Neodiprion lecontei: one gene and its partner. The protein of the gene in region 1 binds, or shares a complex with, the protein of each later gene. Links are inferred from orthologs where the notes say so. Each region holds a gene or a part of one and is shown in the gene's direction. Other genes may lie near its edges.

The links.
Region 2: basement membrane-specific heparan sulfate proteoglycan core protein (region 1) and integrin-linked protein kinase share a complex: the UniProt entries of both Caenorhabditis elegans proteins name them as parts of the integrin containing attachment complex. The link is inferred for Neodiprion lecontei from reciprocal best matches to the Caenorhabditis elegans genes unc-52 and pat-4.

Annotation. Positions count from the first base shown.
Region 1 is NC_060263.1:40,494,388-40,509,880, reverse strand, and holds the start of basement membrane-specific heparan sulfate proteoglycan core protein, read left to right. Parts: upstream 1-7,781; 5' UTR 7,782-8,232; coding exon 8,233-8,319; intron 8,320-15,493. UniProt on the Caenorhabditis elegans protein: Component of an integrin containing attachment complex, which is required for muscle development and maintenance. Probable structural role in myofilament assembly and/or attachment of the myofilament lattice to the cell membrane.
Region 2 is NC_060266.1:7,818,061-7,835,934, reverse strand, and holds integrin-linked protein kinase, read left to right. Parts: upstream 1-5,708; 5' UTR 5,709-6,079; coding exon 6,080-6,168; intron 6,169-7,346; coding exon 7,347-7,512; intron 7,513-7,749; coding exon 7,750-7,942; intron 7,943-8,029; coding exon 8,030-8,110; intron 8,111-8,441; coding exon 8,442-8,884; intron 8,885-9,377; coding exon 9,378-9,608; intron 9,609-9,684; coding exon 9,685-9,831; 3' UTR 9,832-10,699; downstream 10,700-17,874. Other genes in the region: SOSS complex subunit C homolog, read left to right, coding at 1,033-1,060, 1,154-1,287, 2,566-2,724; rRNA N6-adenosine-methyltransferase METTL5-like, read left to right, coding at 2,748-3,131; esterase FE4, read left to right, coding at 16,869-17,003. UniProt on the Caenorhabditis elegans protein: Probable pseudokinase that acts as an adapter protein. Component of an integrin containing attachment complex, which is required for muscle development and maintenance.

The DNA of each region.
Region 1 (15,493 bases):
AGGATCCGAAGTTCGAGCTTTGAGTCTAAGTGGTCGACGTTGAAAAATCTTTTAGGATATGCTGTTCAAAAATTTGGTGCGAACAGATTGACCAGAATTTTCATCAGCCAAAAAGCTTAACGAGGAATAAGTAGCAGTTTCAAACGGAACATGATGACGATGAAACGTACAACGAAAGAACTGAAACTCGATCATCTAATCCTAGTTGAAAATTCAAATTCCATGAGATAACTTAATGAATACAGTACCTGAATATTTCTTCAACAATGACGGTTATGCAGCAATGCTCGGTTAGGTATTTAAACGGCCAAACAAACGCGGCAGGTTACTGATTTCCGGTTTTTATCCAGGCGATGAAGACCGTGACTTAAACGGCAAGTTGAATTTGGCGGCTTTTTTATCGGCCGCGGCGTTGCGCTGCCGTCGGTATCGCCAGCTCTGATCTTCAATCGGTAAGGTAGATTGGACAAAACTAGCCCTGGTTCGACAATCGCACAGGATACTGACTCATCGTTGGAGCAGATACCTACTATCGAGTTTTAAGCCCGGGGAATCCCTTGAGTTTGAAAGATGCTTGTATTTTTAAAACCTGAACCACAAATGGATCACGGATAAGACACACTGCGATGAACACGCAGATTTAGTTTCACGCAAGTTATTTGGCACAGAAGTAAAACTGTCGCTGCCGTAACGCGGCCCAGTCATTGCTTCGTAAAATGCCTGAAATATTTTGCGGGAAATAACAGTGACATTTGAATCCGGTGTCGAATGATGCGGACATACCTCATTTATAATATATATTATACGGGTACATACGTACCAGGAATACTGCAGCGCCAGGAAGATGCAGATGCACATCGTTGCCGCTATAAAAGGTGGCGGAAATATCAAATGACGTGTTATTCGACTAGCCTGCTGTTCCACTAATGAACTTGTAGAATACGAATTATGTACTCCTGCTTCATTTTCTTTATTACACGACTAACAATAAGATTCTCTGATCATAGACGAAGCATTTTGATGGCGATGCCTTCGTTGAGTTCATTCCAAAATCTTTCTGTTCTCGAATTTTATTCCTACGATATCGGAAGGGGATCTAAAAAATTTGAGAGAATTAATGTCCGATATTTCGCGCGTATTTGCTTTTCCACGGCAGCGGTTCAATGAAGGTTTCTGTATGGACGAGCTAATAGAGGGAATGAGGAACTCTGCATGGTTACGTGTAACATGATCAGAATACCCGGCCATAAGAGATCCTCAAAACACGACCTACTTACTGCTCTACTCTTCTCTCTTCCTCTTCACGTTTCGTGTATTTTCATTTGAACGAACGGTCGGAGTGGCAAAACTTTACGTTCAGCGGCACCGCCTATACTCGGAACGTTGACCGGAAAAGTCTGCAAAGTTATGCTTCGCAGTCCTTCTAATCGGCGCGTACAATGCCAGATTGCTCTGTTCTTCGACGTTTACAGTTTTTTTCCTGTAAAGATGTCACGTCGCGTTTCCGTATTTCAGTTCTCTCGCAAATATTCTTTGTAGAGCGAAATGGCAGAATTTTTTGCAACGGTTACCCAAGACGAATTTTCGGATCTCATTATTGAACTTCAAAGACTGGGCAAAAATCTCGATTTCGATATTGGAGATTCTAAGGTGAACCAAAAAAATTGAGACTCGTTTGACCCTCAGAAGCTTCGGCTGCAATATTCTTGGCTTACTCCTGAATTAGTCCATGAAATTTTCTTTTCTTGTGTTCAACTATGATTTAGAATATTTAGAACTTCGTGGTTCTATTGAGTCAACCTGAGTTGCGGGAATCTGCAGGGTGTAAATGATACCTAGATTCGAGTCGGCATATCTCAACAATAAACGAATAAAGGACTAAGAGGTTTAAACGAGTTATAAAATTTCGAGTTAGGCATGGTTTCGATGTAAAAATTGCACGGATAGTTATGTAACGGTTGAAACGCCATATTAATAAATTTTCTTCCGGTATTCTTCGAAATCGCTTCAAAATTCGATTGTTTGAAGGATCGAGGGCCCATCTTGACGGACAAAATTATCCGGAGATGACGAATCAGGAGGAGAGACCCAAACCCACCGCACACGTGTGAAGTGATTCGGGTCAGGTTTGAAGTTTGCACGTTGCAGACGGCGGCCACATGCCGGGGAATACGTGTTGCAGATTTCCAATGCGTATGTATGTTAATGCATGTCGAGACGAATGGCATGGCGCAGTGTAAGTTCTGAGAACCTCGGTTACAGCCTTTGCGTGCAGGGCAGACTAAATAAAAGGCACAACGACGCGGGCGCGACGTCTCGGCTTGAGAGAGAGAGAGAGAGAGAGAGAGAGAGAGAGAGAGAGAGAAGAGATTAAAGAAGGAGAGTAAAAAGACGAGCTGATCGTTGTGTATGCAAAAGAGAAGCTAATGTGAGCCACAAGCGTGTGATGCATGCATGTATTGAGGACAGACACTCGCAGTCTCTGTAAGACTCGAACTTTATCATTAACATCATGGCCAATTCCCTCTCTGTAATTCATACCAGGTTCCATAAGGACTTTGGGCCGCATCTATATTTGGCGGCAAATAATTTGCATCTGTTGCGCAACGTACGCAAATGGAAATTTCGACGGGATCTTCTTATACCATTCGGTGGTTTGTACCTCGATGTGTACAATGTTCCTGTAACTATTGCTGAGGGAGAAGAATAAAAAAAAAAAAGAATACTTGACATTTTACATTTATAAATGAGCGTTGTGATTCGCGCTTGTATATTTTCACGTTTTTTCTACACGATCTGTACTTACTTTTATACGAAAGAAAAAAATGCCAATAAATTATGTTCGAACTTGTATTCTCGGGCAAAATTTTCATTCCGTACAATAAAATACGTTATTGTAATCTGAAAGTTTGTAATACATATACCGTGTTAATTGCGAATGGACAGAAAAAAGATGCTACATTCATCTGCACGTGTAGTTTCTGAAACTTCAAATAAACAATTCGTATTCATGACACATGGGTGATGGCATAATTTCCGAGGTACTTAGTTCTTTTCTTGTACGCAGAGTGAAATAAATTTTTCCTTCAAAAATACACAAATTTCTTTCTGTTCTCGCTTTGTGCTTTACGTCCGGTAACTAGGCCTCCGCTAATTGTTCATAATCTATGTATATACGAAACGGTTTATTCTTGTATATTTGTTCACCTGAGATTTATCACCCGGAGAAATATTATCGATTGGCTCGCACGTCCGGTGTGGATTTTTTGCAAATATTAAACGTGCGAGGTACGCGAGAAACAGAGGAAATAAAAGTAAGAATTAGTGAGTCATGGAGACGGGTGGAGAGAGGAAAGCGGAGCGGCGACTGGGCCTAGAAACACGACCGTAACCCTAAATTTTAAAAGCTTCGTATATGTAAGAACGAGGCTGCGAAAGAATTAGGAGCCTTGACTCCGTGTCAAAGTCGTAAAAATGGTTGACACTATCGAAAATGTCAACGATAAATCTCGATTATGACGCGAGCTAATCCGGGGCTGGGGATGTGTAATAAACACATCGAACGGTCCAACGCAACGATTTAAGCGTCGTGTGTGACAAAATATATCTATGCAATGGCAACATAATTTCAGACCTGCGTCTTGGGCATATGGTGATGCACGCGTGTTTAATGCACGCGAGTAATGAACCAGTTGAGTATTATTCGACAACGGTTAGATCATTTCTCGCGTCCATGTTCCCGCACTTTACGATTCGTCGCTGTAAAACTCAATAATGCGAGTCGTCAGGTCGTGACACGGTTCTGTAAAGACCAGGATCCCTTGCCCGCTTACAAAGGCTCTCAAACACAGAGTTTCCGCCTATTTGTACCTGCTCAAATTTGAGTTTCGCGCCGTTGTCGTAACGTCATTCAGCACTAGCGACTCGCGGATCGTTCTCGACGAGCCGCGGGAAATTTGAAACTTGTCTAAGAACTATGAATGCGCGAGCGTGGTTATAAAGAAGAATTCTCGTCGATCAAGAATTGGGTTAAGTACTCGAAGATAATTCCCGAAAGTCGGAGCGTCGCGAGACCATTTCTGTCAAAGGGGAGTGGAACAACTGAGTGAGCCCTTTAACCGCAATGTCAAAGTTCCGAATTAAGGAGCGAATGAGCAAACAATTAGACGGTGGCATGACGCATACGTCATCCAATTATCAATGTGCAACGTTCGATGGCGCACATGCACTAAAGTGCAGTTCTTTGCCCGACGCGTATGACCCGAAATAAGAGCAAAGATGTTTCCACCGGGTTTAATTGTATGTAATAAAAGTGCAGGACGGCGCGTCTCTCGATGTTAATTGTGCAAATTAGTGTATACATACACGCGCATAAACAGTTTGAAAAGTATCTCAATTGAAAATTTGCATATGCGCCAGAAACTGCAGTAGCAGCAGCGGTAGCAGCGACGAACAGAAGCTGGTAAATTAGTTTCACAATTTAATTCCTAATTAGACTAAAATGAAGTTTAATGTGTTTCGCATCGTTAACATCGGTGTAAATTTTTTCATAAAATTCATACAAATAACGAACGTTACATCATTGGTATAATTTTCCTGTTAATTAGCTAATTCTTTTTAGCATAGAACAGTATGAAAGATAAAAAAAAAACGCGATTTTAGTATTTTTCGTCGAATCTGTAAATGATTCTTCTTCTTTCGTTATATCATGTATCATGTTTGTAGCAGATAGTTGTAACTTTGGTTGCACAACACCGTAATTCGAGGGTCAAGGTCCAAGAAATAAAGATACATTTTTATCATGTTCATAGCTTGTTTAATTATACATTTTTCTACTGGATTATCTCGCTCGTCGTTTTACAACCCGTCGTACGAATATCGGTCGGTGAAAAATGCCGGTAGGTGTTACCGTGCATATATTCAAATATAGAGGTGAATAGATATAGTTTTTGCATAATTTTTAATTATTACTCACCAGTGTATTTTGCGCGTGTATGCATATTTTTAAGTAAAGATAATGCCCAAGTTACAAATCTGGCCAATAAACTTGTCTAGACGTAATCGTAAACTTCGTGTCTCACTCCCCTCGGTTCTTAAGCTCTGAATTCTCTATGACCCAATGAAATCGGAACATACAATTATGTATTCGTAACCTTTCCATTAGGCAATAAGTTTTTTTTAAATATCTTTACGACACATTTTTAATTGTGATATACGCGAAAAGTGAGATACACTCTAAATTTGGAATACGGATGAACTTATCAACTGTACGTCAACAATGAAGTAGCGAAATCGATCAGACGATCAAAAAGTACTAATATATATATTTGTCTGGCTAGGTTCTCACTTTTTGCCCTATTTTTATGAGCTTGTATTCATACATTCATCTCTCGAAAGCCTTTTTAATTTTCTCCTAACAAATTAACGGAATGTGAGTATAATGTCGTTAAATTTGAGGTTATAGATACAACGCGCTCGTGTTTTCGTAACCGGTTTTCGGTATCGTTACCTTAGACGTTAAATTATTTATCATTTATACACCTAACAATTAATACAGATCGAAGCTCGTCAAATTAGACTTGATTGCTGATCATTGAATTATTATCAAATCTGTAAAATATGTTTTGCCACAAAGCGAACGCTAGCTCACGTTTCGGTTAAGATTTCAACGGCTTCTGCACATTGATTTATTGCAAACAAAGTTGAGATGGATTCTACGGTACATGAAAAAGGTTTCTGTACTAGTCGAGGTGACTGAAGTGGAAATTGACTGTATGGGATGTTTTCGAAAATTCATACAATCCCCATATATCAGCGCCTAAATCCAATATGGCGGTTCAGATAACAACCATCGATAGCTGTGAAGTTGGTTCATGTCTGCCTAGAGTTTTGGCGCGTGTTTCGAGCGCGGTTTCGGTCTCAACTCCAATGTGTGATAAAGTATAGTGAAAAAAATCGCTATTCCGCACGCGCGGAATCCTCGCGTCCGCGGTGGTCCGCGTACCTTATATTCGCGATTCTTAGGCGAGTCTGACGCACTGGTAAAACTATGTACGTTATACCTAATATTAGCCCCACAGTCAAGTAGGTGATTAAATGCCTGCCGTATAGGTTTTCACGCTCGCCGTTCAATGCGGCAGCCAGCTTCTGTATAATACACATGGCGATATATCTATGAATATCATCTATACGATTTCACTATACAGAGTGGCATTCCATCGAGATGAAGAAGTAAATAAATAAATGTATGAATAATGGTAAGCGGATTAAAATAGCGGTCAGACTATCGTTCCAAACTCTACAATTGTCATTAATTCGGAAACAATTCCCGAAGTTTGCGTATTGCTCTTGCAGTTATTTTTATAGTGGTACTCTACGATTGAACCTTCACGAACATTTTATCGCCTCGATTGAGCGGCGATTTATAGTTATAGTTTATATTTGATCTTTTTTTATTTTTTATTATTTTGCACAGTTATAAATTTGAGACATTCAGAGCTTGACACTTGAAATAGTTCACGGCGCAGTTCAAAGATGAATAGATAATCGACGATGATTTATAAAACTTGACAATTGATGACAATTTATAGGTGGATCAAGATTGGTGGGCGTAAATCACACGTGTGAATCCAAAGATATCCATTTCCGAAACGGAATGCTGGAATCTATTCCGATATGAATTTTGAAATAGTGATTTTAAGCAGGTTCCACAGTTAAATATCCGCAGTACTTGCTGATAATTTCATTACGAATTGGTCGCACGTTGCGTGTTTATCAAATTAACACATTCGTGAACTACGGTGATTTTTTCGAAGAAGTAAAACATAATTTTCAAAAGAGAGGACAGGTAACCATTTTTTACATCGAATTGCCTCAAGATACCGAAAATTTTTGTGTATTCTTTCGATTTCACTCTGCATGTGACGAGTGATTTTATCCTGAAATCAATTTTCGCTACAATCCCACTGTGACAGTTTTTGCTTCCTTATCACGTTGGTACCGTAAAACATGTAATTCCGCAATACCGATCTGACATCGATTCGGCTCAACAAGTAGCAATTAAAAATTGGACATTCATCGAAAAAAGAAAAAACAAAAAAGAAATCCACTTCGGAAAATTTCTAAGTAACGACTTTTCAAAGGGCGAGAACAAAAAAAAAAAAAAAAATCATCAGGTCGTGAAATTGAACAAGTCTAAAACATTTTTCATAAAATCGATATCGAAATTGTGTCTCATAATTTCAGCAACTTTTTGCTCGTTGAATTTCTAGAATACCCAGCATCGCAGCTTACGAACGTAACAATTTGTTGAATGCTCCGTGAAAGCGTTTCCAAAAAATCTCGATATTCAATCCGTCGCAACGTTGCGAAAATCGAACGATCGAAGGGTAACGAACCCGTTGAGTCGGTGCTAAACCGTTTGGCGTAAACTGGTCCGGACAGAAGAGGATCGTCCGGCACCTTGACCGGTAACCGGCTGAACCGGCAACGCGCGCACCGAGCGTTCAGAACAGATCGGATCGGACCGTCGCGTCGTCGAGTGTGCGGCTGCCGAACGGAGCGGCGGGGCGGCTCCTGGAGCGAAAAGCGATGCTTGCGAGGTGGCGCAGGAAGGGGGGGGGGGGGGGGGAGGGGGGATGGACGAAGGAGGGGGCGCCACAGCCGAACCTGAACCTCGGCGGTTCGCCGCAAGGGGGGGGGGGGGGGGAGGCGAAACGGGTGGAGAGGGAACCACCACACGGGGCTTTTGAAAATGTTTTATCTTAGCCGGCGCGCACGGCTCTCAGACGCTACCCAACGCCGGTACGGTGTGGTGTGATCGTTGAAGCTGCAGAGCGTGACGACGAGCAGCGTCTGCGGTAGAGAGATTCGTTCTAAGGAGTCGGATTCGATCAGGTCTGCAGCGAAAAATTCGCGGGGTTGTTACGGAGCTGGGTGGAGAGAGAGAGAGAGAGAGAGAGAAGGTAGAGACGGCGGGTAGATTAGGAGGCGCGGTAAATTTGAAAACGGTTACGAAGGAACGACCAGTAAACAGGAAAATACGTCAACCATGAACCGTTGTCGCTGAAAAGTTTCGACTGACGGTTCGAAATCATCGCGCGGGTTTCCATCGACGGTTTTTCGTACTGCTGTCGCGGTAATAGATATAAAAAAAAAAAAAACAGAAATAACACCTTTGACCAGGCTGTCGAACCGTTCGCTTTTCGGCGATCGGTAATTCGCCCTTTCGAGATGACCACCAACGGCAGTGTTTTACTCAGGAGTGCTCTTCTCGCAGTGCTACTCGCCGCTTCCTTCGCTTCGGCATCCTTCGAAGAGGTGAGTTCATTACACACGTTTCTCATCGATATAGAACTTGATGGATGTATGTGTATATAGGTATATATACCGTCATCGCGATGATTCTACAAGAATTGTAAGTCTGGTTTTAGAAAATCGATAATCAGTTTTATACTGTATTTCCCTCCCCACGATTTACCTCGAAAAGTGCCGGGTCCTTCTTAAACCCGACAGTCAACGTTTTCATTCAATCACATTTCGTTCCTGAGAACCATATCCGTATGGATAATAAATTGTTCTTTCAAATTTGTCAAATTGCGCATACACAGGTATCGGTTAAATACCAGAGCTTGATAATCGATCACCCACCAAGTACTCGTCTCGCTCTATTTCCATCCGAAAGTGCAGGCAAAGAGATGTTGGAAACAGGTTGAAACCGATTGAGAAAATGAAGAATTGAATAGTACGAGTATCCGCACCATTTCTTTTAACGTAACCGTATCGCAATTCCCGCTGTATAATCACTTTACAATATATCACGACGAAAAGGAACTAAAAATATAATCGTACGATAGAAAATAGGAGGAAAGGGGAAGGAGGTAACTGGGCCGCTTATTAGGTCGGACGATAACGATGCGGTTACATCTGCGGGGCTATCGATCACACGTGCTTTCGTTTTATCGATGACGGATCCGAGCGATTGTGATTTGGGAATCGCAGAAATCCTTGTTGCGATTACACGTCTGCAAATGGCCTCCGTTGTACGAGCCGCGACGGTAACGTGAAGGGTATCGACACATACAGTCTAGAACTCGGATTATCCGTCGTAGCAATTGAAGTGTAACACACTCAGGGGTATCCGTTTCTACGTCTCGGACTGCATCAAGTTCGACGCACCCTCGAGTTTGAACAGAATTAAGGCTTCCTTCATCCGATCATCCTGCGGCTGTCGCTGATGGATCAGCCCTGGTCTCCGACCGGAAGTAGCAAAGTGCGAAAATTCCCGGAGACACTGACAAAGCGTCGAAACAAGTTCGCGATGATAGTTCGGAGATGAAAGATCGTTGCGACGCGTGGTTACCTTCTACTTAATGAGAACGGAAAAGCAAGGTGGGGATAAAAATGTTAGAAATCAGAAAGATTACCGCATCGGTTTCTCTAAAACGCGAAAATCTATTTTGTACAATGATTTCGAAGTATGTGCAGAAAATTCTGCTGTATTCCAAGTCATTCTGACGTTTCTGCATCGTGGTTTGGTTCTGTACTTTGATCTTTTCACATTTCGACATTATGGATTTGAAAAATACTATAAATAAAAATAAATCTTGGCCCTATGACCCTTGAATTTTATGGATCTCTGTGAATCTCTACCCCCACCCGGAAAATCATGTAGGAACAGAAGGAATGGGGAAGTCTTATTCTCGCGTGCATCGTAGCACGTGCGTCCGGCATTTCTGGTGAACCTCTGGATATCGAGGTCGATTGACAGGTAGCTCGGGATTTACCTCCCAAACAACATGGAGACGCCTATTGCGTGGCAGCCGTGAACATCTGTATCAACATGTGCCCAGTACCTAAAACCGACGGTATTGAAACGATACCTTTGCGGAGAACGCGGTTCACAACTGATTGTTGTGAACCGCAATTTGTTTAGCAGTACTTTTACCTCGATTGGAAGTATGTCGCTCGGTTGGTGTCATGTTAACTCGTAGGCAGCGTAGGTTTCTTCTTCGTCTGATACCTAATAATGTACCTTAATTAATTTGCCCGAAATACGACGGATCGTCAAAATTTGACACTTTCCATGATGGGCAGAAAATTGGCCCACGGAAATTACTCGACTCAGAGACGTGATAGCATATCGCATACACGCCACATCTGGTCTTCCTCATTAAGTATTTCGCAGTGTTATTGCATAATTCGTTCATCTGGATCCGATATTTTCATCTGATTTTATGCTATTTTAAGAATCTTGAAGATCGTGAACGATGATATTTGGAAATTGAGGAATTGAGCTGCTTATTTATGGTTTTATTTTCGATCTTAGTCTGCGTGTAATCAATACCGATTTCAAATATAAAATAGGTAAGAAAAAGAGTTCGCTCTCATATTTCGTTCCTCGAAATATCCTATACCGTTGAAGTTTCGTTCGCTAAAATAAGGTTCCATCAAGCGTAGCTTTTTCGTAATCAACGGTAAGATAACAGGCCTGCGGAATAGAACTTTTAATATCTCCCGAATAGTAATAATGCTTTTTTCTAGGTATTTAGATATGCTGAATTAAAATGTAGCGAAAGTTTTTTTTACACCGTATCGAGATTTATTCTTATGCAAGATACGCATATTTATAAATTTTTGAACAATGTTTATAAAAAAAAAAAAATATATCAAATGTAAAACTTTTTAAGTATAAAATTAATGGCATTAGTTTTAAACAACACTTAAGAGACTTGTGACATCTTTTTCTACTTTCTTCAAAATTCCTGTTCAATCTTTTTCTCTTGTACTTACCTTGATCTAAATATGCTTAACGTCCTCATAAACAGCAACTGAGGGTTGATAAATATTTAAATACCAACATTACCATTAATACATATAATTGCCACAGAAATTGGAAGCGAACTCTAGTAGTACGAAGAATACAGAAAAGAAATGTAACAAAATTTACGTGATAGAATTTATTGAATATCTTTTTCATAGATTCGTGCCTAATACCTACAGAAATTACTACTCAATTTTCTAGGGGTAGAAAACCGTCGCAGGCCTGTGTAATCGAACCACATTTTGGCGGTGTAATTAGATAAAAAAAAAAAAAAGATAGGAGATAAGAACGAAGAAGGAGAGAGAAAATATGCGGCCTGGAATTATACATTTGCGATAATTCGAGTTTAATTCAATTAGATCGTTTTTCGGAGTCTACATATAGATATTTGCGTTATGTATGTATATATATAAATATATATATATATATATATGTGTGTGTGTGTGTACAGGTATGGATTTTTATATTCGCGATTCGCACGTACAGCGATTCGACTCGAATGGCATATTATTCGGCCAGTTTCGGTGATCCAAGAAAGTAGGTGGCGGAGGGGGGGGGGCACCTAATCCAGGTCCCAATTATTGTCACCGGTCCAACTCTTATAATTAACTTTTCAATTAGCCGAATTACATCCGTCATTTAACCCTGCGCTGCACACTGTCACATCCCGCCTCCTCGGTCGTCAACCGAACAGGACATAAAATACGGGGATGAATTAAGTGAAAAGGAAAAGAGTTCCGGGGAAAAAGGGGAATTGAAAAAAAAAAATTTTTTAAATTAGAAAAAAAAAAAAAAATAAAAGAAACGTCGGAATCCGTAATAAAGAAAAGGAGAGCAAAATCGAATCAGCTGACGATCGGTCGCCTCGGATAGGACTTTTTTTTCACCACATCCCTAGGACTCCGTTTAAAACCACGCAATTGACCGCGATCGTCAGAGTAAAACGGAAAGATTAATCATAGCGATGAGAAACAAGCTGCGGTTTAACCCGTTTGGAAAAAAAAGCGACGGAAAATGCAGACGAAGGAAGAAAGAAAGAAGGAAAGAAAAATCGAATGCGTATATATGAGAGAGAATGGATCGAGACGCGTTTGGAGATGTTTCCATGTGAAATTTGAGACGAAACTAAGCAAGACGGGATTCTGCCCTGCATCTGCACCCCAAGTCTGGCACTGTTTGTGTTCGTAAAACGCCTCGACCTTGGATCACGTCTGGGTTTGCCTGTCGCTTATCCAGTCTGACGGATGAAGGTCTCCAGGCAGCCCTGCAGGCTGCAATAATTGTGGTATCAATGCACGAGCTAAGAATTACAACAAAATAATCGATTTTCGATAAAATCCATTATTTTCTCCCGATTAATCGATTATCATCGATTATTTTTCGTCACAATCGTTTTTTGTTTCTTTTTACTCCCACGGACGGTGCGATTCGATATCAATTAATGTGATTAGAGTATCAATTATTATTCTAAGTATTACTTATCAAGTACCTGTTTGATATAGTAAGTGAAAGATAAGTGAATATTTTCACCTGAAATTGAAAAATATTTTTTATGAAACTATAAATTATCAAAAAACTTTACCGCAATTAAGACTACGTGCTGAAATTTACGAAATTTGTGGTTTCGTATGCGCCGTTTCAAAAAAAAAAAAATACGATGTAATCGATTAATCGATTAATTTTTACCGATTCAATCGAGTCGTGCTCGATTATTTTTTTCGACTCGATTAATCGACGCATCGATTATTATTTTATGCTTACGACGATCGTCGCTATTATGAGCCGGTCCGTAAAATGTTGACACCTTCTTCGGAACAATTATTCGTTCCAAATCAGAGTCACGTCGATTAGTTGTGCACGTCAGAGTTCTGGAGGTTGGTTGGCCAGAATACGATAGTTATAATTAATTTTTTTAACGTGATAGTCGCACAATGCGTGCGACATTCATCAAATTGTTGTATGTATATTCGGAAGCTACGAAGACCTTTTAAAATAACAAAACCCGAAAATACTGGAATTATAAATACAAGGTTAGAATTACCGATGCCTTATTTTAATCAAAATACCATCTCCTCCGAAATCGCCGAAACGGATTTACTTTTTTTTTTTTGCAGAGGACAATTAGAATCGTCATTTGTCGATTATAATCAATACCGACATATATCGGTAGGTACTTCAAGTATTAGTTTCGATGAATAAAAATCGTGCGACGACCTTCGGACTGAAAAAGAAAAAGAAATCAAGAATTTCGAAATTGATGGATTCTCGGACTTTTTGTTTGTGCTGAAGCCGTTGAATGACTTGACTGATTTTAGACAAATTTCATTTAAAAACTGAAAGGCAGAGAATTCGAAGCTTGAAATTCACGAACGGTTTTTGCAAACCAAAGATTTGATTTATATTATACGAATGCAATAAAAAACGGAGATTTTATCTTATGAAAAATATGGTGATTTCGAGACACAATGTTAGGATTTCCGTTCTGAATGCGATTCTTCTTCCGTCGCTCAAATCGCAAAATCCCTACTATCCGGGCTTTTATTGACCGGGTCATAGGACGAATCGCTTATCCATAACACGTAGTTATTTGCGAGCCAATATAAACGCAGTTCTTTCCCTCGAAGGGTAGATTAAAACAAACTTAATACGTGAATTCAGAACTAAACGAGATGCGAAGAATCCGTTCATCTTCGACGATTCAATTATACTTGCGGTAAGAAAGTTTTTCAGCACTTGACATGCTTCTTTAACTTCTTTCTTATAAATTGTTTTTCCCGATCTCTTTTTACCTATGCAACTTGTTCACATCACCCTTTTTCTTCTTCTCTAGAACGAAAACGAGAATCAAGAAGAAGCCACGCATAATGAGCTCGTATTTATATCGTTGATTATTGTCTACCATTTTTTTTAAATTTATTCACAATTCTCAACAGTCTTAAAATTCGATATATATTCGAAAATTTTCAACTCACGGAATAAACTCTGCGCGAAGATGTTATTTCGTTGATTAATAAAAGGTGATTGAGTTTTAGGTCAGTTTATATCATCTACGAAAAAACCTCTGAAATATGACGAAATTCAGAATGAAGTTTGTAAAATCAGTCAAATTCTTATAGACGTACATCTATCCGTGTTCTCTGTAGTATCAAAGCAGTTAATGACCTCATTGTATGTACAACTACGTAACCACAGAATCACGTAATGAGCTTTCCTCACGCATAGCTGGATATGTGATAAAATTCCGAGATCTGGTTGAAGCGATCCAGAAACTTTTCGAACCGTTGTGGTTTTACTTCGCACAAGTTATTCGCCGAATCGTTAAAATTTTGTCAATCTGACGCAATTCGCGGTCGCCGTAGAGCCATTGTCTGTTTTAAGGGTTTATACCTAATCAGGAGGCCGATAAAAGCGATTTATTGAAGTTTTTTTATCAAGAGACATTTGAATTTATTAATATAAAAATTTATATACATATTGGGGTAAAATTGAACTTCGTTCTGATATTTTTTATTTGTAAGAATAGTGATTTTTAAAGCTGCTATAGCCGATCTCCGCAAGCACTTCTGAAAAAAGGCGTTTTGCGGTGAAAATTTCTGGACTGGAACAACCGAAATGTAAAAACAAAAAAGATCTAGTTAATATAAGGTATTGTCTGGTCTTTGATGGAAAGAATAAGCGAAATATTAATTCATAACAAAACAGTGGCTTCTCAAAAAAAAATTTCGATTTTCCATAAAAATTTTCGCCCCAAGTTGCTTATAAAATGGAAAATATTTACCGGCGATAAAAAAACCTTCGATCAAGGACTGAAAAATATATTCATAAAGCTTGTGTGAAAATTTGAGACTAATCGGTTCAACCGTTTCCGAGAAATCTTGCTCACCGACTTTGAAAACATAGTTTTGAGAAGAACGCATTCAAAGTTCCAAAAGCACTGCCAAAAGCTCCGAGGGCGTCTTTGCAAATTTGCGCGTAACTTCGAGAATACTTGTCGGATCGACATGAAATTTTTTCCGCATATACTTGAGTATACGTACATTACGAAAATGAAATTAAGACACAAAAATAGGTTTTTGAAAAATCCCGACTAATTATAACCCTTTAATCGTCTCGGCCATGTCTTCTGATCAAAGTGCGAAACTATCGTTTGTTCGGCCAACCACGCGTCCTGTAGGTGTCTGCAAATTTTTACCTGCGTATTCCGAGCTTTTACTCTGTCCCGCAAAAGTCGGGAATCCGATTCCATCACCGCCCACGCAGTCCAACCCGAGTGGACCGTCGAATCTCTCGGATTGTCTCGAGGTGCGTTGTAACTTTTGTCGGAGAATCCGAGTCGTGTCTCGTTGTGCGAGGACCGCAGACTCCGTGGTCACCTTTCTCGGAATATCAACCGTTAACTCTCAAGAGTTCAAATGAATAACGAGCACTCGTGACGTCCGCCGGTTTTTTAAGTCGAATAAATCCCTCGCCTGCTTCGAAAATAAACGGGTGTCGATGATCTATTTGTCACTCTGCACTGCTAGAAGTTTTATTTTTATATTTGTATATTCTTTTTCTGAAACGATTCTTTCTCTGGCTTTGAAAATGAACCCAAAACCCTCGTTTAAGGATCGTCCGTCAGGTGTAGAGTTCGTTTGAAATAACAATGACCAACGATGAATGAAAGAGTCA
Region 2 (17,874 bases), on another chromosome or scaffold:
TCATTTTTTATAATTAATTACTGCCTTGAATTTCTCGTTTTCGCTACATTTTATTTCAAACGCGTTTTTCTCGAAACGACTTTTTTTCGACTAGCGTACATTCTAGCTCAAAAATTTATTGATCAATCGTTCTGAAATTTGGTGCAGATATTCTTTATTCAATTCCACGTAACATGAACCAAATTCGGGGATTAGATTGTTATTAAAAATATATGTTTTTATGCAAGAAAGATGAAAAAATATAGTATAAAAACATGACATTGTGTTCAAACACCTCAAAAACATGCAATTTTTAATTTGTTTGATCAAAACTAGGTTCATATTTCTAGAAAATATGTTTTTAATGAAAAAAAAAATCCTGATGATTACAGATAAAAATTGCGACGTCAGGGATGTACGCCAGCCAAATGCTCGGATGGCAATCGCCCATGGACTGCACGCGGTAACTCCACTATTTCCGGCGGAAATCGTTTGAAAAAATTTTAAAGTGTACTTGAAAACATAAATAAAATATCCTCCAAGTTTAAACAATTTGTGATTATTCCTTCCTGGTTAAAAAAAATCATGAAAAACAGCAAAATTTTGACCTCATAAACCGGTTTCCCTCCTTAACCCAGGTCCTGGCATATCGACAGTATGGACTACGCTTAGGCCAGTAGAAAACGGCCAGCTGGTAGAAAGAGATAGCCACTGGTGGCGGTCAATCTCTGTCTCTTTCTATTCAGGACCGTAGCAATATGACAGAGAGAGAAAGCAGTTGACCCCCACCTCATTCCTTCTGTGGGACACTTTTCGAAGGCCTTCATGCTGGGATTGCATAGTCGATGGCCTGGAAACTGCTCAGAGTTTAGTACTGCTTTCAACCACGGCACGCTTTTTAGCGCTACAGTCGCAGCCAATTATCAGTACACTGGTTGGGCCGCCGCCATCTGATTTCACACTAGTTGTGGCTAAGAATTCGTAGGAGTTGGACGTGTCTCGTGTGATATTACGTTAAAGCGTTCGGCTGCTGAAGTTTGACGTCCCTATCAAATGGCTTTTTCGCAACCAAATTCTAGAGGTAAGGATGTGAGATACTTCATACATGGTTATGTGTAAATTGAAAGTCCCAAAAATTATCGCGACTCCACGTATGCCTATTGTTTTTTCCCAGAACTAGAAAACAGAAAAATACTGGAAGAAATACAGTTGAAGAAGCAGCTACTTTTGAAGCAGGGCGTTACGCCTACTCTTGGAACTTCTTTGACTCCGCTTGACGTATCACCCGCTACTCCTGCTGCGACTGAGGTACGTCCGTCAAACGAATCCTTTAGTTTCGGATAAGATTAGGTTGGTTGAAGTGAGGTTAGGTTATGTTTTGTTTGTTTGAATCACGGTGTAGGAATAATAGGTGGCCCGGCTGTGATTATTTTTGCATAATTCTGTACTTCTCCACCAGACGGATATGGGTCAGTAAGACCACTGTAAACAATGATGGCGGCATGTGGTGTTCGAAAGAGAGGAGGGTAATTTTAGGTTAATCATGAGATGAGCGTGTCATATTTACAAAAATATGAGCAGAAGTTGCAGTTGAAAACATAAAATACCAAAAATAATAACAAGTTATAAAATATGTGAAACATAAAGCAATACAAAATAAATATAAGTCATAATAAACCTATGAGGTTAAGGTTCGTAACGTTGACGCAACAGAATAATCGAAAACAAATTTCAACTTTGAGGGTTCGAACCTTTCAAAAACAGTAAACTGCACTACATAATTTTCCAAGTTGATTAAGACATTGTGTCCTGCTTATTTTGCAATTATAACAATATTTGAGTCACAAAATTGTGCTTTTTCCGTGTATCTTATTGCATTAACGTTATGAATTTCAAGCTGCTAAAACTTACGTTTTCATCAACCTACATAATTTTCTCTTTTCACGCTTATGCTTTAGATCGTTTCGAGTACGAATTTTCACCCATTGTGGTATTCTCATAGTTATGTAGTAATGCATGATATATGATACAATTTCATCCTTGTGTTGTTCGCTAGGAAATGAAAAGCTGTAATTCTGTATCATATCAGACACAGTAGGTTCATATACAAAGGAATTCTCAGATTCTATGTGCTCACAGAAGTATTTGATCGGGGTTGAAATGTTTTTGGCAAACATATTGAGTCCTTTTTATAACTATCCCAGTAAGAGCAATTGTATCTCTCCATTTATTACATATTTCGATTGCTTTGGGAACGGTGAAAAAAGATATATCTTCCCTACACTCGTCTTGCGCACGTTGATGACAAACATGACTCCTGCCCATATTTAAATAATGTTTTTTTTCTCATAGTTTATAAATATCGTGTTATTGATTTGTTTTGAACACTGCGTTTTGCCATTATTGTTTACAATGGTCCTACAGATCTGTAACCATCTGGTGGGCGTGCAACGAATTATGCTAAAATAATCACAAGCACTTGGCATTGCGGGGATAGGGCAGCCCGACCACCTATTATTGTTACACTGTGGTTTGAATTCACGTGGATCGCAACACTATCGCACTTTAAATATTTTACACTATCAGCAGAATCCTGCAACAACGGTGGATGGTATAGCATTGAGTGCTTCTCAAAGTGCAGCCCTTCAGAACGCACATGAAGCCTCTACTGGGTTCTTCGTCGCCCAGGACTCGGCCTTTGGTAACTTGATCCTGCCAGTATTCCCGAGGTTTGAGATCCAGTGAACTACTATCAGGCATATACAAGAATGGTTATTGTGACTATAATGGTACCCATGCGATTCAGAGAGCTGGAAGAGTGTCTTCAACAATTAGATGGATTTGAAGAGCCAAAAATTCGTCTTGAACAATATTCCACGAGCGCTCACATCGGGGCGCACATCCTGCACACAGCATACACACACTTTGACGATATAGGAGGAAAGGCTATTGCTCACTTGGGTGCAGGGTGTGGGGTACTATCACTCGGGGCCCGACTTCTTGGCACTAGTCATGTCGTCGGATTTGAAATTGATGCCGATGCGCTGTCCATGCTCAAAACTAATTGCCTTGAGTTAGAAACTGATGTCGAGGCAGTTCACTGTGACCCCAGTTGTGATGAATCTGCCTTTTGGCTCAAAACGCAATGTTAGAACGGACGTCAACTTTTTGGAGACAACAGTTAGTATTGCTTGACATGCCGTCTACTCTCTCCACAAGACTAGCACCCGGGATCATGTGGTTAGGACTGCAAAACGCCTTGGAACAACGGCAAAAATCGTCGCTGAATTACGATACGATCTTCCTGGAGCGTACAAGTTTCACAAAAATACTTCCATTGATGTCCAAGTCGATTTTATAAGACTTGAATTGGATTAGGTAAACAACATGAAAAGACACTCATCCTCACTAATCAATTTCTATGTGTAAGCATAATGGAAGATTTAATAAATTTGTACAGAAATAGTGTTGTAGTTCTTTTGTTTTGTTTCATTGTTATTTCTACCTGCATAAATTATGGTTTGATTTTTTCACAGTTCACTCGAATTTGATCCCTTGAGCCAAGGGTAATTCATTCCCATAGTCGATCGTTATTGTTACCCGTCTGGCATAGTGTTTCCACGCATCACTCCCATTCCTTGTCCTCAACCAGTCGCTTTTTTCTCCACCAAATGCTCCAATTTCTGCCCCGCTATATATCTGTATCTACAATACTCTGGTACGACAGCGCAATTAGTGGGCAAACAAGGAAAACAGTTTGGTCACACTACGATAACAATCTCCACCACTTAAAAATAGCAGAGTTCCCAGGCCTGTGTGCGTTGACTGAGAATATATCATAGTTTATGGGATATATAAAGACTGACCATGATTATGTGGCAGCTTTGGTTGTCAATTGCAAAATATATCACGTGACTGGGTTTTTGTACCCCAAATTGAGAAAGCAAAATGAGTGTCAAGTATGTCACAAAGCCTTTCAGTCAGTTAAAGAAAATGATACTCTTGGCGAAGAAGAATCGATTAATATGAAAACCAGAGGTGGTTCAATTCATGGCAATATATTTCTGTTATCTCTTTCATTAGCAATTGAGAAATACTTCTGTAAGCACATAGAATCTGAGAATCAATCTGTATATGAACCTACTGTGTCTGATATGATACAGAAGTACAGATTTTCATTTCCTTGCGAATAACACAAGGATGAAATTGTATCATATATCATGCATTACTACATAACTATGAGAATACCACAATGGGTGAAAATTCGTACTCGAAACGATCTAAAGCATAAGCGTGAAAAGAGAAAATTATGTAGGTTGATGAAAACGCAAGTTTTAGCAGCTTGAAATTCATAACGTTAATGCAATAAGATACTCGGAAAAGCACAATTTTGTAAGCACACTTAACCAACTTCGAAATCACAGTCGCCGAGCCGCAGCCGTACCACCTATTATTCCATATCATTCTTACACCGTGGTGCCGGTGTTAGCCTAACTTTTTGCAGATGCTTTACGATACCGTCACGAGCGCATGCGCAATGCCGTAAGATAGAGATGAAGCTACATATTGTGTATATATATATCAGTGACATATTATGACGCTATCTCTTTCGGCTCGCTCATGGAGACTAGAGGTAAGAAGTCTGAACGCAATGCTAGCCAAATGATCGGTGAAAGTGATGAACGATCCGCGGATTGTAACCGCCTGGCAGCGCTACCACTGCAGGCTCCGTCAGCGCGGTGATTTTGAATCGTCGATCCTACGTATGTATCCTATTCGTAACCAGGCGCTGGTATCGCTTGCGGATACATCCCGTCTACAAGATTTTTCATCACTTTCACGAACCACTTTTCGACGATTCCGCCATATGCGTTCGGACTCCTTTACTCTAGTCTCCATGGGCTCGCTGCTCCTTTGTGCCGTGTAGGCCGTGTAGGATAGCAGGTGTAGGTTTCAGTGTCGTTGCTGTGGTCCGTGTCGACAAATAAACGCTGCATTTCCGTAATGCCTGGTCTACACATACGCTGTAAGTGGGGGTCTTAAAGTGCGCCTCCATTAAAGCTGATGTGTAGCCGAGTTTATATGAACTTCAAGCGCCTTCCACTCAAAGATTTTCTGAATTCCACTTTAAGCTCAATTTTCAACGAGAAGTAGTGCCAATCGTACCGAAATGACAGATTAAAATCTCGCGTGGTTTGAACCCGTTCTTTGTGCTTTGTTCTTTTCCTCGGTCGGCATTTTGCCGTAACCAAGTTTGGTACATATTTATTACTTGAACAATTATTGATATGAAAATATAATCCATGTTCAAGTATCACCAGAGTTTACAACAAACAAAATGAGTTTCGAATTACAGATGAGAGATATGTTGATTATAAGCTATTCAAAAAATGAAAAATAAAAGATAGGTAAGTGATTATTAATTAATGAATAAAATTGCGGAGAACATTGCATTATATTGCTTCATATATTGTATTACTGAGGTTATAAACACTAACTGACAGTTTTTAAGTTCTTCTCGTTACTCCGTTTGATGGCTAACAAGACTTTCTAACCTTCGTGTAGACCAGGCATAAGCAGTCGGTAAGCGTAGGGCATTGCCGTTACTTCCGCACCCTTTCGCTTCTTCAAAATGCCCTATTGAGCTGGCCATCATGAGCGTTCTTTAGCCAATGGCTAAATCGGAATGTCGATCATGGCAGTGCCATCTAGAGACAATTCATAGAAGCTTGAGACGAATGAATCTGGGAAGCAGCGATATGATCCCGCATGCGACATCGCACGATCGCACACGGTGATTTATAATTAGAGATGTCAGCGTAAAGAGTTACACAATATTTGGGTGTGTGCCGATGGAGTTAGAAATACGATCGACAGTGTTAACGATTCATAAATTCTCATCCCAGAGTTAAAATCGTCGAGTTATACGTTTGGTGTGTCCAGTAGCTAATTGCAGTTTATTACAATCATTGATATACGTGCGTATAAATATGGTTATATTTAGAGCGTGACCGAAGTTGCTCTTTTTCGGACGTGACGGAGTCGGCCAGCTATATTATTTTTAGAGAGCGTTAATTAATTGTTATAAACCCCTTTAACAATGGAGGATATATTTCACTGGTGCCGTGAAGGAAACGCGATGCAAGTTCGCGTCTGGCTCGATGACACCGAACATGACATGAACCAAGGGTAAGATCATGGGAGTTGCTCATTACCATTTATGGTTGAACGCTGGGAAGTCCGCTGCAGTTTCGCAATCAGCTGATCTTGACGTGTTTTCAGCACTTTTTAAAACTCTTGTCACTAGTTTCCAAATTATTGCAGGAATCGGAATAATCGCTACATGATGCAGGACAAAATTATGAAAGCTCTGTAATAACGAATCTTTTGATACATCAATGTATAATATTTTTTGTACGAGAAATTTCTTATCAAAACTCTACCACAATCTTGTTATGTTTTTTTCCTTAGCAGGAAACCAATGTCACCCATCCGTATTACTACACTGTGTAAAACATAATGCATATGCGTTGTACTTGGAAGACCCAACATTATTATGTCTGAAATTTTCAGTAATTTGTGATATAGTGAAACATACGCATATTTTGCTAACTACTTTTTTTGAATTCATTCCAGAATTACAGAATTTATATTGCTAATTTGACTACCCTCAGTCTCTTACCTCTGTAAATATGTTACTGGAATTTGATAAAATAATGAAAGAACAATTGTCACAGAGTGCCAAAATTGGTGAAGAAATGTTTGTCAAAGTTTCCTCTTGTCTGCACAACAATGATCGACTTGTTCACTTTACTTTTTAATTTGTAAAATCAGTTTTGTCAACAAGAAAATGAATGTCACTTTTATCTACATGAAAAAATAAATGATTATTCTTTTAAAATAATGTTTGAATCATAATCACAATATAAATTGTGAAGAAAAAAATTGTACTGACCTGACTTATTGAATTTTTTTTACTCTTTTTCTCCTTTGATAAACGAACTTGCTTCCGAAAAGAATAATGTTTGATTTTCATGTCTTGCCTTCCTTTTCTCGTATAATTTAATGCGCCGTGGGTCGGAAAAACCAGTTCAACATTTCGTAAATTTGGTGATACCCTGTTGATATTGTAAGCAAATATTATATGCAGTGACGATTTTCTTGACATCGACAACAAGAAATTTGTTTACGTTATTGCTCTTGATTATAGCCGAAAGGTAGGCATTATACAAATCAGAAATATGACTCATGTTCATGTAAATTTGAGGACAGTGCATTATTTTAAATATTACATTTCCAACTAACAGTGAATATTCAAACATTCATATAATTCAACTCTTGTTTCCATTTGTTTTAATTTTCATCAGGGATGATCACGGCTTTAGCCCGCTGCATTGGTGCAGCAAGGAAGGCCATTCAAAGTTGGCTGAATTGCTCGTGATGCGAGGAGCTCGCATCAATGCAACGAATAGAGGAGACGACACGCCACTCCACCTTGCTTCAGCACACGGGCATAAGGACATTGTTCAGTTGGTTAGTATTCGATATTTGTCGTACTCCTTTGTATTATTATAAGGAGAGCATCTGAAAAGTTACACCCCAATAGTCTCGAAATTAAAAACTGTGTTCAAACAACAAAGATCGGGTCAATAGTTTTTTGCAAATCTTTATCATAGATCAGCTAGATAAAATTTGCTCTTAAAGCCAATGAAAATATGTATCGGTGAAATTGAGAAATTTTTTTAATTGCAATTCTCTTCTTTTTTATAGCTGCTGAGAAATCGTGCCGATGTCAATGTGACCAACGAACACGGAAACACCGCTTTGCATTATGCTTGCTTCTGGGGTGATCAGGCGGTGGCGGAGGAATTGGTAGCCGCTGGAGCTTTGGTTTCCATCGCCAACAAAGACGGTGATACTCCGCTGGACAAGGCTAGAGGACCTCTGGCAAAAAGATTGCATGGTAATGGGATATACTTTCTCTTCTTTATTATTGTAAAATGTTATACATAATACCTAGTAATGAAGAAAATGTACTTCGTTTTTTCAGATCTCGCCGTTGAATACGGACAGGACTTGAAAAAGATTCATTTCAAGGATCAAAGTTGGCTTGGATTGAAAACCAGGAGCAGTGAGTATCAAAATAACTAAGTCAATGATTCAAGGCGTGGATTAAAGAAAGGCTCGAAACAATCGACTCTGTTAATATTGTACCTTTATATGCTTGTGATATTAGTAATGGTCAGTATCTTTTCTTAATCTGCGTCAAGTTAATTTGAGATTTACTCTTTAATTTTTTAACTTCTTCTCAGCTCTATTTTCTGCACTCTTCCATTATTTACATAACAAAAAATGCCTTTTGACGTGGATATGGTCGATTTTTCTAAATGAAAGTTTCTTGCGATCGTTCACATTTCCTCGCTATTGCAGTAAAACAGATGAGAAAATCCATGTTTTCGCAGGGGATGCAACTTTGTCAAGACACAAAGGAATCAATATGGCGGACTTATCGCTACATACTCACTTGGCGAGTAGTCCGAGCGGTGAAACCTGGAGAGGACGGTGGCAGAACAACGATATCGTGGCAAAAATACTAAACCTCAGAGAATGCACCTCTAGAATATCAAGGGACTTCAATGAGGAATTTCCCAAACTCCGAATTTTTTCTCATCCCAACATTCTCCCAGTTCTTGGCTGCGTTAACCAGCCTCCACAACTCGCGACCGTCTCTCAATACATGGCCAGAGGCAGTTTACATCGACTTTTACATGGAGGAACTGGCGTCGTTGTCGATACAGCTAGGGCGCTCAGATTAGCATTGGACGTTGTGCGGGCCATGGCTTTTCTGCACGGGCTTGAAAGGCAGAGCAGATGTAGATTTCATCTTAACAGTAAACATGTCATGGTAAGCAGGGGAAGCAAAAATTAAAAAAACACTGCGTAGTACGTTATCTGATCTTGCAACTAGGTTTCATTGAAAGACACCGTTACAGGGTGGCGACATAAAATCTAAAAATTTTGCAGGGAAATATTGGGAAGATATTTCTTTTTGTTTTTCAGAATATTTTCAGTTATTTTGTAATAATAATTGACGACAAATTGGATATCAATACGATTGCAATAAATCGAATAATTTTTCGATTTTCACTTTGATGTAACAATTACTTAATATTACACACGATTCTCTAAAAGGTACCTTGAACAGCATATGAGCATTTTTGAATCATGATATTGGGTATTAATGGCGCAAAAATGGCAAGGAAGCCGGAGAAAATAGGCTCATTAAATCAGGAAAATTAAAAAAAATTAAACAGTCCGATTTCTGGTGCTACTCTGTATTAAAATATTGAATTGTTTCATGAATCCTGAGAAGTGAGCATGTTTCTCATGATTTCCAGATAGACGAGGATCTCACTGCAAGAGTAAACATGGCTGATTCTAAGTTTTCATTCCAAGAAGTTGGAAGAATTTACGAACCCGCTTGGATGTCTCCGGAAGCATTGAATAAAAAACCTTCTGACATTAATCTCGAGGCCAGCGATATGTGGAGCTTTGCAGTCCTGCTCTGGGAATTGGCAACCAGAGAAGTACCGTTCGCTGATCTTTCCCCCATGGAATGCGGCATGAAGGTCGGATGCAGTTACTGCAATTCCAGCTTCCGTATGACAAACTTGCCTTAACGAGTCGAAATCTTATCTATTCCAGATCGCTATGGAAGACCTGCGCGTCAGTATTCCACCAGGGATTTCTCCTCATCTTGCGAAGCTGATTCGCATATGCATGAACGAAGATCCTGGTAAACGTCCCTCGTTTGATATGGTCGTGCCTATTCTTGATAAGATGAAACGCTGATGGGTTACAAGAAACCACATTGTGTTCATTTAATGTTCTTATTTTATATACACACATGCATGTATGTATACGTCGTAACAAGCACCAAACTGCTGCATTCTTTTAATACAATCTAACGTAATATATATAACATCGTATAACTTTTTCACTTGACTTAATAATAATAATAATAATTTGCATTCACATTGCATGTTCACATTGGTGCCTTGAATATTTGAAATAACTGTAATATTTTTGATAGAATCTATGTATACTATACAAAACTCCTGCCTCCATGATTCTTCCAACTTATCCAATGTTTATTATCATAGACTTGAACCATGAATATTTGTTGAACCAGTATGTTTCACCGAATACTCTCAGTATATTATTCATTAGTATACATATTATATATTTGTATTATACATTTTCACTTTATATACCCGTAATGGATACTTGTAAGCTGGAGTTGAAAGCTTTATCGTTGATGCCTTTGTACAAATTATCAATGTTTGATTTTTTAATATTCTACCGAAGGTCTGAGTTGCGTTCTACACTGTTTTATATACACCTATACATATATAATTCTTCAAATGTTGAATATTTATATGCATAAATATATTTATATTTATTTGTCGATGTCCGCTTCTTAGTGAAGAAAAAAAAAAAAAAAAATTGTAGAATTAAATGCTTGTCTTGACCTGCATTGTGCTTGCCACAAGGAAACATCTGCAATACTCTGTAATTGTCCTTGACATTTCTTTTCGCAATTTTTAACGCTAGAGATTAAAACAATGTGTATTTTTAAGTCTAACGATCTTGTCAATTTATGTTCAAGTTTCATTATTTACAATTCGCCAAAAAATAAATAAATCTCAACTAAATCATACATTGAGTTTCAATACGGTCTGCAAATTCGGTTGGATGCAAACCATGTTTTATCGATCACGTCTTATCAAGAAACAGGTCTAATACAAAGTGTCTCAACTATTTCATTCCTGCCGTAAAATACCTTATACTTAATACTAATTATGCAATACGCATGGTCTGTCCTTGTTACAATATGTTTTTTTATTAATTACGTAGTTTTATATACATCCACCAATGTCACAATATCAAATACCTATCAACTTTTGCGTAAAAAACAGTTCATTCTAATCAATTTATAGTTGTTCCCATAAATTTCGATATGTCCTAAAACGAAGTCCTGCAAAATTTCTAGTTAATTACGAGACATTGCTTGCTAATAATTGAAAACGCAGAATATCTTACTGCTAAAGATTGTTTGATATCCGAGGATTGTTTATAATGTGGCCTCCATTTCTTGGATAGGTAATGTAAATGAGGGAAAATAATATGGATTAGTGTGGAACAGGCATTTTTCTTTATTGGAGATTAACAAAAAATTCAAGTTCAACTTTCCAGAAACCTCTTATCACCTCAAGTTCACCTGCCGTTGTAAGAATCTTGTATTACTGTCAATCACAGCGATATTGTGAATTCAAAAAACGGTGCAACGAAACTGTGAATGATAAAGCGATATCTTTTGACAACTGAAACATTTATTACACAACTTATATAATTACTGTTAATTCATGAGCATAAGAAATCCCATTTGCACTTGATTTTTGTTTCTTACATAAGCTGAACGTACAATCTATTCGGATAAACTTATTTCGACCAAAGAATTTTTAATTGACAGGATTAATGGTTATTCTCGATAAATATAAAACGCGATTGTCTCTAGATTGGCTTTTAAACGAATTACTTTTCTGATGTCAATTACATTTCTTGTGTGGTATAAGTTGTAATCGCGTGAATTCAAATTTAATTGACTATAATTATAGGATTGAGTGCAATGAAAAGACGGGTCATTTATAGAATAATGTGTTTCAATTATTTCTCTCGTCAGACTGATCATTCAATTGACATTAACTTAAGTTGAGACCAAATTCATTGACCAGGAAAAATATATTATATTCAGCTTGTACGACGTATTCACATTATTTGAAATTGGGTGAGCATCAATTCAGTTTCATAATCATTTATCTGTATGAAATGTAGTTGAACGATATTTTTGTTACAATTATTTCAGTTTCAGTATTTTCTAATCTTTATCATCGTATGAAGGTGATATTAGTGATATATCGAAAAAAGCTAGAAGGAATTGAATGATTCAAAACTTGAAAGATTTAGGGTCAAAGCGAATGTTGACAAGTATGGAAAGATTAAAAAAATTTTTTTTTTAAGTATCCCTTCTTATGTCAAATTGTTTCACTTTTACATTCAATTCGCTTTCATTTGCTGTGATATTCAATTCGGCATACTCAGCTGCTATTTGATCGATGTTGTGTATAGTATAATTACTTTCTATACATCCTCAAGGACAACACCCTTCTTCTTATATTGTGACGTACGCTGCAGACAGTCTGTAAATTGACATACACTGCATATTCAATAGCCTGGCACTTGAATACTATTAAATACTTGCTTACTGAATTGCCTGATATTGAAGACTGACGAGATCAAGGCTGTCGACATAATCAGTGCAGTAATAGTTCTCGAATCGTAAGTATAGTATAGTCACTTGTTATCGCGATAGAAGAAATTTTACGACTACCAAGAAAATCAATTTGTTAACGAATTCCACGATACATTTTTTCCAGAAGGCGCATTGAAGTAGGTTGCCCATTTTTTCCGTTACAGTGAGTTTTTGTTTCGGGATTTAACAAAAATAAAACTGCAATCAATTACAAATTTTCACTGATATTCCACTAATTTCCAGTGCATATACACTGACTTTCGCCAGTGGTATACTTATAAGTGATCCGCATTCAGAGAGAAAGATAATAATTGGTGAAATCAAAAGTGGTCAGTTTCAATCGCATATTGAGTTGGCATGCATGCCCCATATTTAAATTTTCCAACTAAAATCATTGTCAATATATTGTGAATTTGAAATTTATGACAGTGAAATTATGAATCCATTATAAGAAATTTTCGTTGTATATTACAGTGGACTGAAGGTATTGAAAAAAAAAGAGATTGAGATAACTTAGCTGTTTAATTTGAAATTAAATTATCCACGACATTAGCGAGTAGTTGAAATTATGTGAGATCGATTTCAGCCTCATTACTAACGGAACTACAGGAAAGCAAAGGAATTCTTGAAGCAGAAAACTAGATTTTGTTGGAGCTGATTCACTTCAATCCGATATCCCTTATTTGTTCCAAATACGATGACTTCAACAATTTCAATTTAGTTAGTTGGTTAAAATGATTTAGTCAAGCGAATTTCTTGATTCAACTGAAGCCTTTCTTGTCGCAATAGAGTGAACTATTGATTCGAGTGAACTTTTTGATGTGTTTTCCTAATTGGATCAACTAAATACCATTGCATTCGAAGTTGATGTATTTTTCCTCTAAGTCGCATGTCCGTTGACAGAAACAATTGGGTTAGGTTAGGTAAATATACTTCAAGTAAAATAAATGCATGAATCTAGCTAACAAAAATTTACATCGATTAAATGCCATTCTTTCTTATCTAACCGAAGCTTGTTTGGCGTAACTGGTTGAATCAGTTGCACTAATTTATTTACGAGGTAAAAGAAAAACCACATGCTTGAAACAGGTAGAGAGTATATTCGGCGTAATTATCGGTATGCTAGTACTATTAACGTCCGCTAGGCGGTGAACTTTCTCGCTACGGAAATAGCTTCAGAGATATTTATAAAGTCGGGTAGTCCGCTTAGCAGATTCGGGGATGACGCGAGATAATACTGTCGATAAAGATGTAACGAATGAAATACAGCATCTATTAGCAAGGTGTTGAGACGCTGGAATTGTGATTAATAATAACATTTAAGAAATATATATGTATAAGGCGCATCTGATCATAGTTAAACATCTACGCACACGTCAATCTATCGAGTTAAAACTATTAACTTATTCAATAGGATGGCCTGGCTCTAATAAGAGTCGGAAGCCCAGCCGTTAAGGTGCGTCGGATAAAATTTTGAGTTATTTCAAATACACATTTTGTTGATACAAAGTTCTCATAATCGCAAGGAACTCACGCCGTGCTATCTTGACTAAAATGATCGTCAACATGATCATTCAAAGGCGGCTTGATTCGATTCTATATTATGTTCTCATATGTATTTCGCCCGACAAAAATATTTTGTTGAATTAAAGAAGTATTGTGTTCGCCGTATTTGACTTAAGGATTAGTTGAATCAAGCAAATATTACTTGACTTGAATTATCGTTTCCCTCCGTTCAGTTATTACATATTTTTACTCAAGACCCACTTAAGGCTCCAGAAAGTTGATGTTGATCTAAGAAAGATTATAGCACTCGGGCTTATTCACTTGTTGGATTTTTACGGAGTTGTATGGGATCTTTCCCCTTTCTGGATTAAAAATTTTACTGATTGTTTTCGGGCCATTTCATTTTTTGTTCTGAAAAAAGTGTTTTCTTAAAAATTTGTACACATGTTCAAATTTTGCCGCCATACGCAATGACGTTGTCGGTACGGCCCTGGGTGTAGAATGAAAATGAGTTTGATAGACGTGACTAGCAAAGCCAGTATGTACTAGTATTTTTTTTTGATTGTGGCACTCGTACAATATTTTCTTGTAACAACTCCGATAATTTGAAGTTAGTGTGCAAGAATAAATTAATGTTAAAATGTTCTTTGAATGACTAATATATGGTAAACTAACGGAGCAGAATTATTATTGCATTAACCAAAATATGTAATATTTACAACTATAATCACACTAAATAGTTATACTTATATCGCCAGTTTCTTGTAATTCCAATGATATTCAAAGCGTACAAATTTCACCAGGATTTTCTAGCAGCTATAAGAAATGAAAATTTTCCTAATGTAATTTACTCAAGACCGTGTAAAAGTTGATTATATTAATCATTGAAAATATATAATCACTATAAAGTGTATCTGATCCCAATATGGATTTGGCAATCACGTAACGAGGTAATATATTTATCGTTTGTACAACGAAACAAAATTTTGGCAGTCAATTTTATAGTTCGGAGCAGTTATTCATTCCTCGAAAAATTTCAAGACCACTTTCAACGGATAAAGTGTATTAATGTTTGGTATTATAAGCTCATGGAAGAGATTTATATGATTAGTATGGATGATATAATGATACAGTGTTTTGATTAAGATTCTGCGATGGCTGCAGGTGTAAGTTATTCCTGACTACAACAGTAGATATAAATGCAAATGTCACTAATCTCTTTATGAATTAGACGTTATGGTTGAATTTTTATTTGGAATGCGTGTCTTCGTTTTCAAGAAAATTAACGCCCACAATTAATCGATCAGGCGTTTCAGGATCCAACAAGTCTATAAAAATTTGTCATTCATTAGAAAGTCTAATTTTGCAAGTATCATTCTGCTGATCCAACAATAAGTTGCACGAAACCACCACTTGTCAGTGTTGGTTCACATAATCGCTGTGTAAATTCAGAATAATTCTAGGTGGTGCTTATACTTGTTGCCAACCGACTATTTTTAGTAGAGACTTTTAAACAGGGAATTACATCAAGCTGCTGTATGACCGCAAAGCCGCGCATACTCATCCTGCATGTTACACATCGCCTACCGGCGAAAATGTTGATTTACGAGGTGCGCAAAAAAATTACTACGATTAAGCAAACATGTCATTTCTTTTCATACACCTTGCGTCACTCACACCGTTAATGACGAACTTCATTTCGAATTGGCTAGTAGGCGGTAGAAGATATTCATCAATGATCAAAGTTCGAGTTAATTCATTAATGAACAATCTATTGCCATTTGAAATTTTGCAGACAAACGTTGTTCAATATATTCGACCCTTGGAAAGCTTCATTGTATGAGACAACGGTAAGTCGATACCATTATTATTTCGTTTTTTTTTTTTCAAAAAAGCGGCTGGTATTGATTATTAGCATTTCACGACACCTGGCTGCATGCTTGTGTAATACATGTACTGTGTGTATATTTGCTTTTAGTGACGCTCAATAAATATTAGTCAGCCAGCGTTTCGTGATACGTGCACGAATCTTGAGCTGTGTCGGCATACAAGTGTAAAAATATAAAAGAAAAGGTCCGCAATTCCCCACGTGAAAATGGTCATATGTTGAATCATAAAATGTTTTGAAAGAGTTCAGCATGTAATTTATTACATGATTTATCTCATAAATTCGATAAAATATATAAGAAATTACATAACAGATTACAAAGGTACGAATCATCAACTGTGTAGTGGGATGTATTATGATTTTTGGTCCAGTATATCTGTTGATTCGTATTTTTGTAACTTACATATTGTGTGATCTCTCATATATTTTAATGGCATAAAAAATTACACAATAAATTACAAAAGCAAAATTCGTCAGTTACACGAGATCAAGATATTTTAGTGAACTTATAAGATCAAATCATGTAATAAATTGAACGCTAAATTCTTTCAAAACATTTTATGATTCAACACATAAACACTTTTAGTAGGGTCGCGATCATGCAACGGTTTCGACGGTCCTCGAAGAAGTTTGGATCACTTGTTATTGCGGTACCGACCTTGATAGCGGATTAAAAAATGCAGCAGTTGCCATGCAAATACAATACCCGGTTGACATTGAGTTTAAAAAGTGTGATCATTCGAAGCGGAGGCGAGAGTCGGAATTACATCGTAACACCTACCTCACAATCAGTCACGAAATCGGTAAAGTGACGAAGTTAATTAGCTCAAGTTTAAAAATGAGGAAGAAAGTGCAATTCAAGCATTTCGACGATTTTTCTCTCCTTCTCTTGAGTGTACTTTTATTTCTCTTGCACCGATTCTGGGTGCAAGGTGCAGTCGATAAACACGCGGCAGCTTCGCAGTTTGATAAGATTCTGGACTCTCCTGACCTGGTCCTCATCTCTTACGGCGACTGACCGAGCCGACGAGAAATGTTATACGAGTGTGGGTGCGAGTGTTCTATGAGTCACTCGATTTCAGTCTGCAACGCGTCGTCGACAGTCAGTCGCTAGAGTAAGACATGGGCGAACCAGTTGTGACCGTGAAGCAGGGCCACCTTCGAGGCCTCGAGACCGAGAGTGTCGCCGGAGGATCCTACCTCTCCTTTAAAGGCATTCCCTACGCCGCGCCGCCGGTCGGCGAACTCAGATTCAGGGTAATTAATTCAATCATCCAAGTATCCAAAATCAGGGACTGCATGCATCGAGTATTTGGAGTAAAACTGCTGGGCATTTTTTTAGTCGAAATTTTCACATCAGGGTAGCGTGTATTGTATACAGAAAACTAGTTGTCACTTTCGGAATTTCACTATGATAATAGAAGTCAGGTATACGGTACTTAATTTATTTATCCCAAGTACTCAAAATCGAAGAATGCATCGTATAAGTATCTAGAGTAAAGTATTAGAGAAGTTTTCTACGGGAATTGCTGTAATGCAGTACTGTTTATTTTACACGGAAAATTACCAGCCAGTTTTGGAAATTCACTATGATATACTAGATAGGAGTTTGAGCAGAAGTTATAATCAAACCTCATAGTGGTTTGACAACCAGAATGCTATAAATCTTTCCTGTAACTTATACCAGTGATCTCAAAGAAAGGCTTCAGTGTCTATTTGTGAAGGTTTTGGCTTACGTTTGTTGGGTTGTGTTTTGTTGCTGCTAAGGTTGAAATATCATGTCTGGATCATGACTAATATAAAATGGAGACAAAAAATTATGTCCTTCTCTTGACAACATAAGCTGATTGGCATGATAGATGGTTTTGATTCAAGTCCAAGGAGGCGGTAAAATGTAGTCGTAGATGCGTCGTCGAACTCTTGGAAATCGATATATTTAATACAGCCGCGAGCATGATCAGGATTGAATTACCATATAGTCAGATTTACTCTGGTTACATAGGTAAGAACTTAGCAATATAAGTATAGTAAAGAACCGATCGAAAGAAGTTTGCTTGAACTACACACAGTGGTTATTTATAGAACATATATTGTTAGCGTAACTGTGATATCTTAGATAGACATGTCT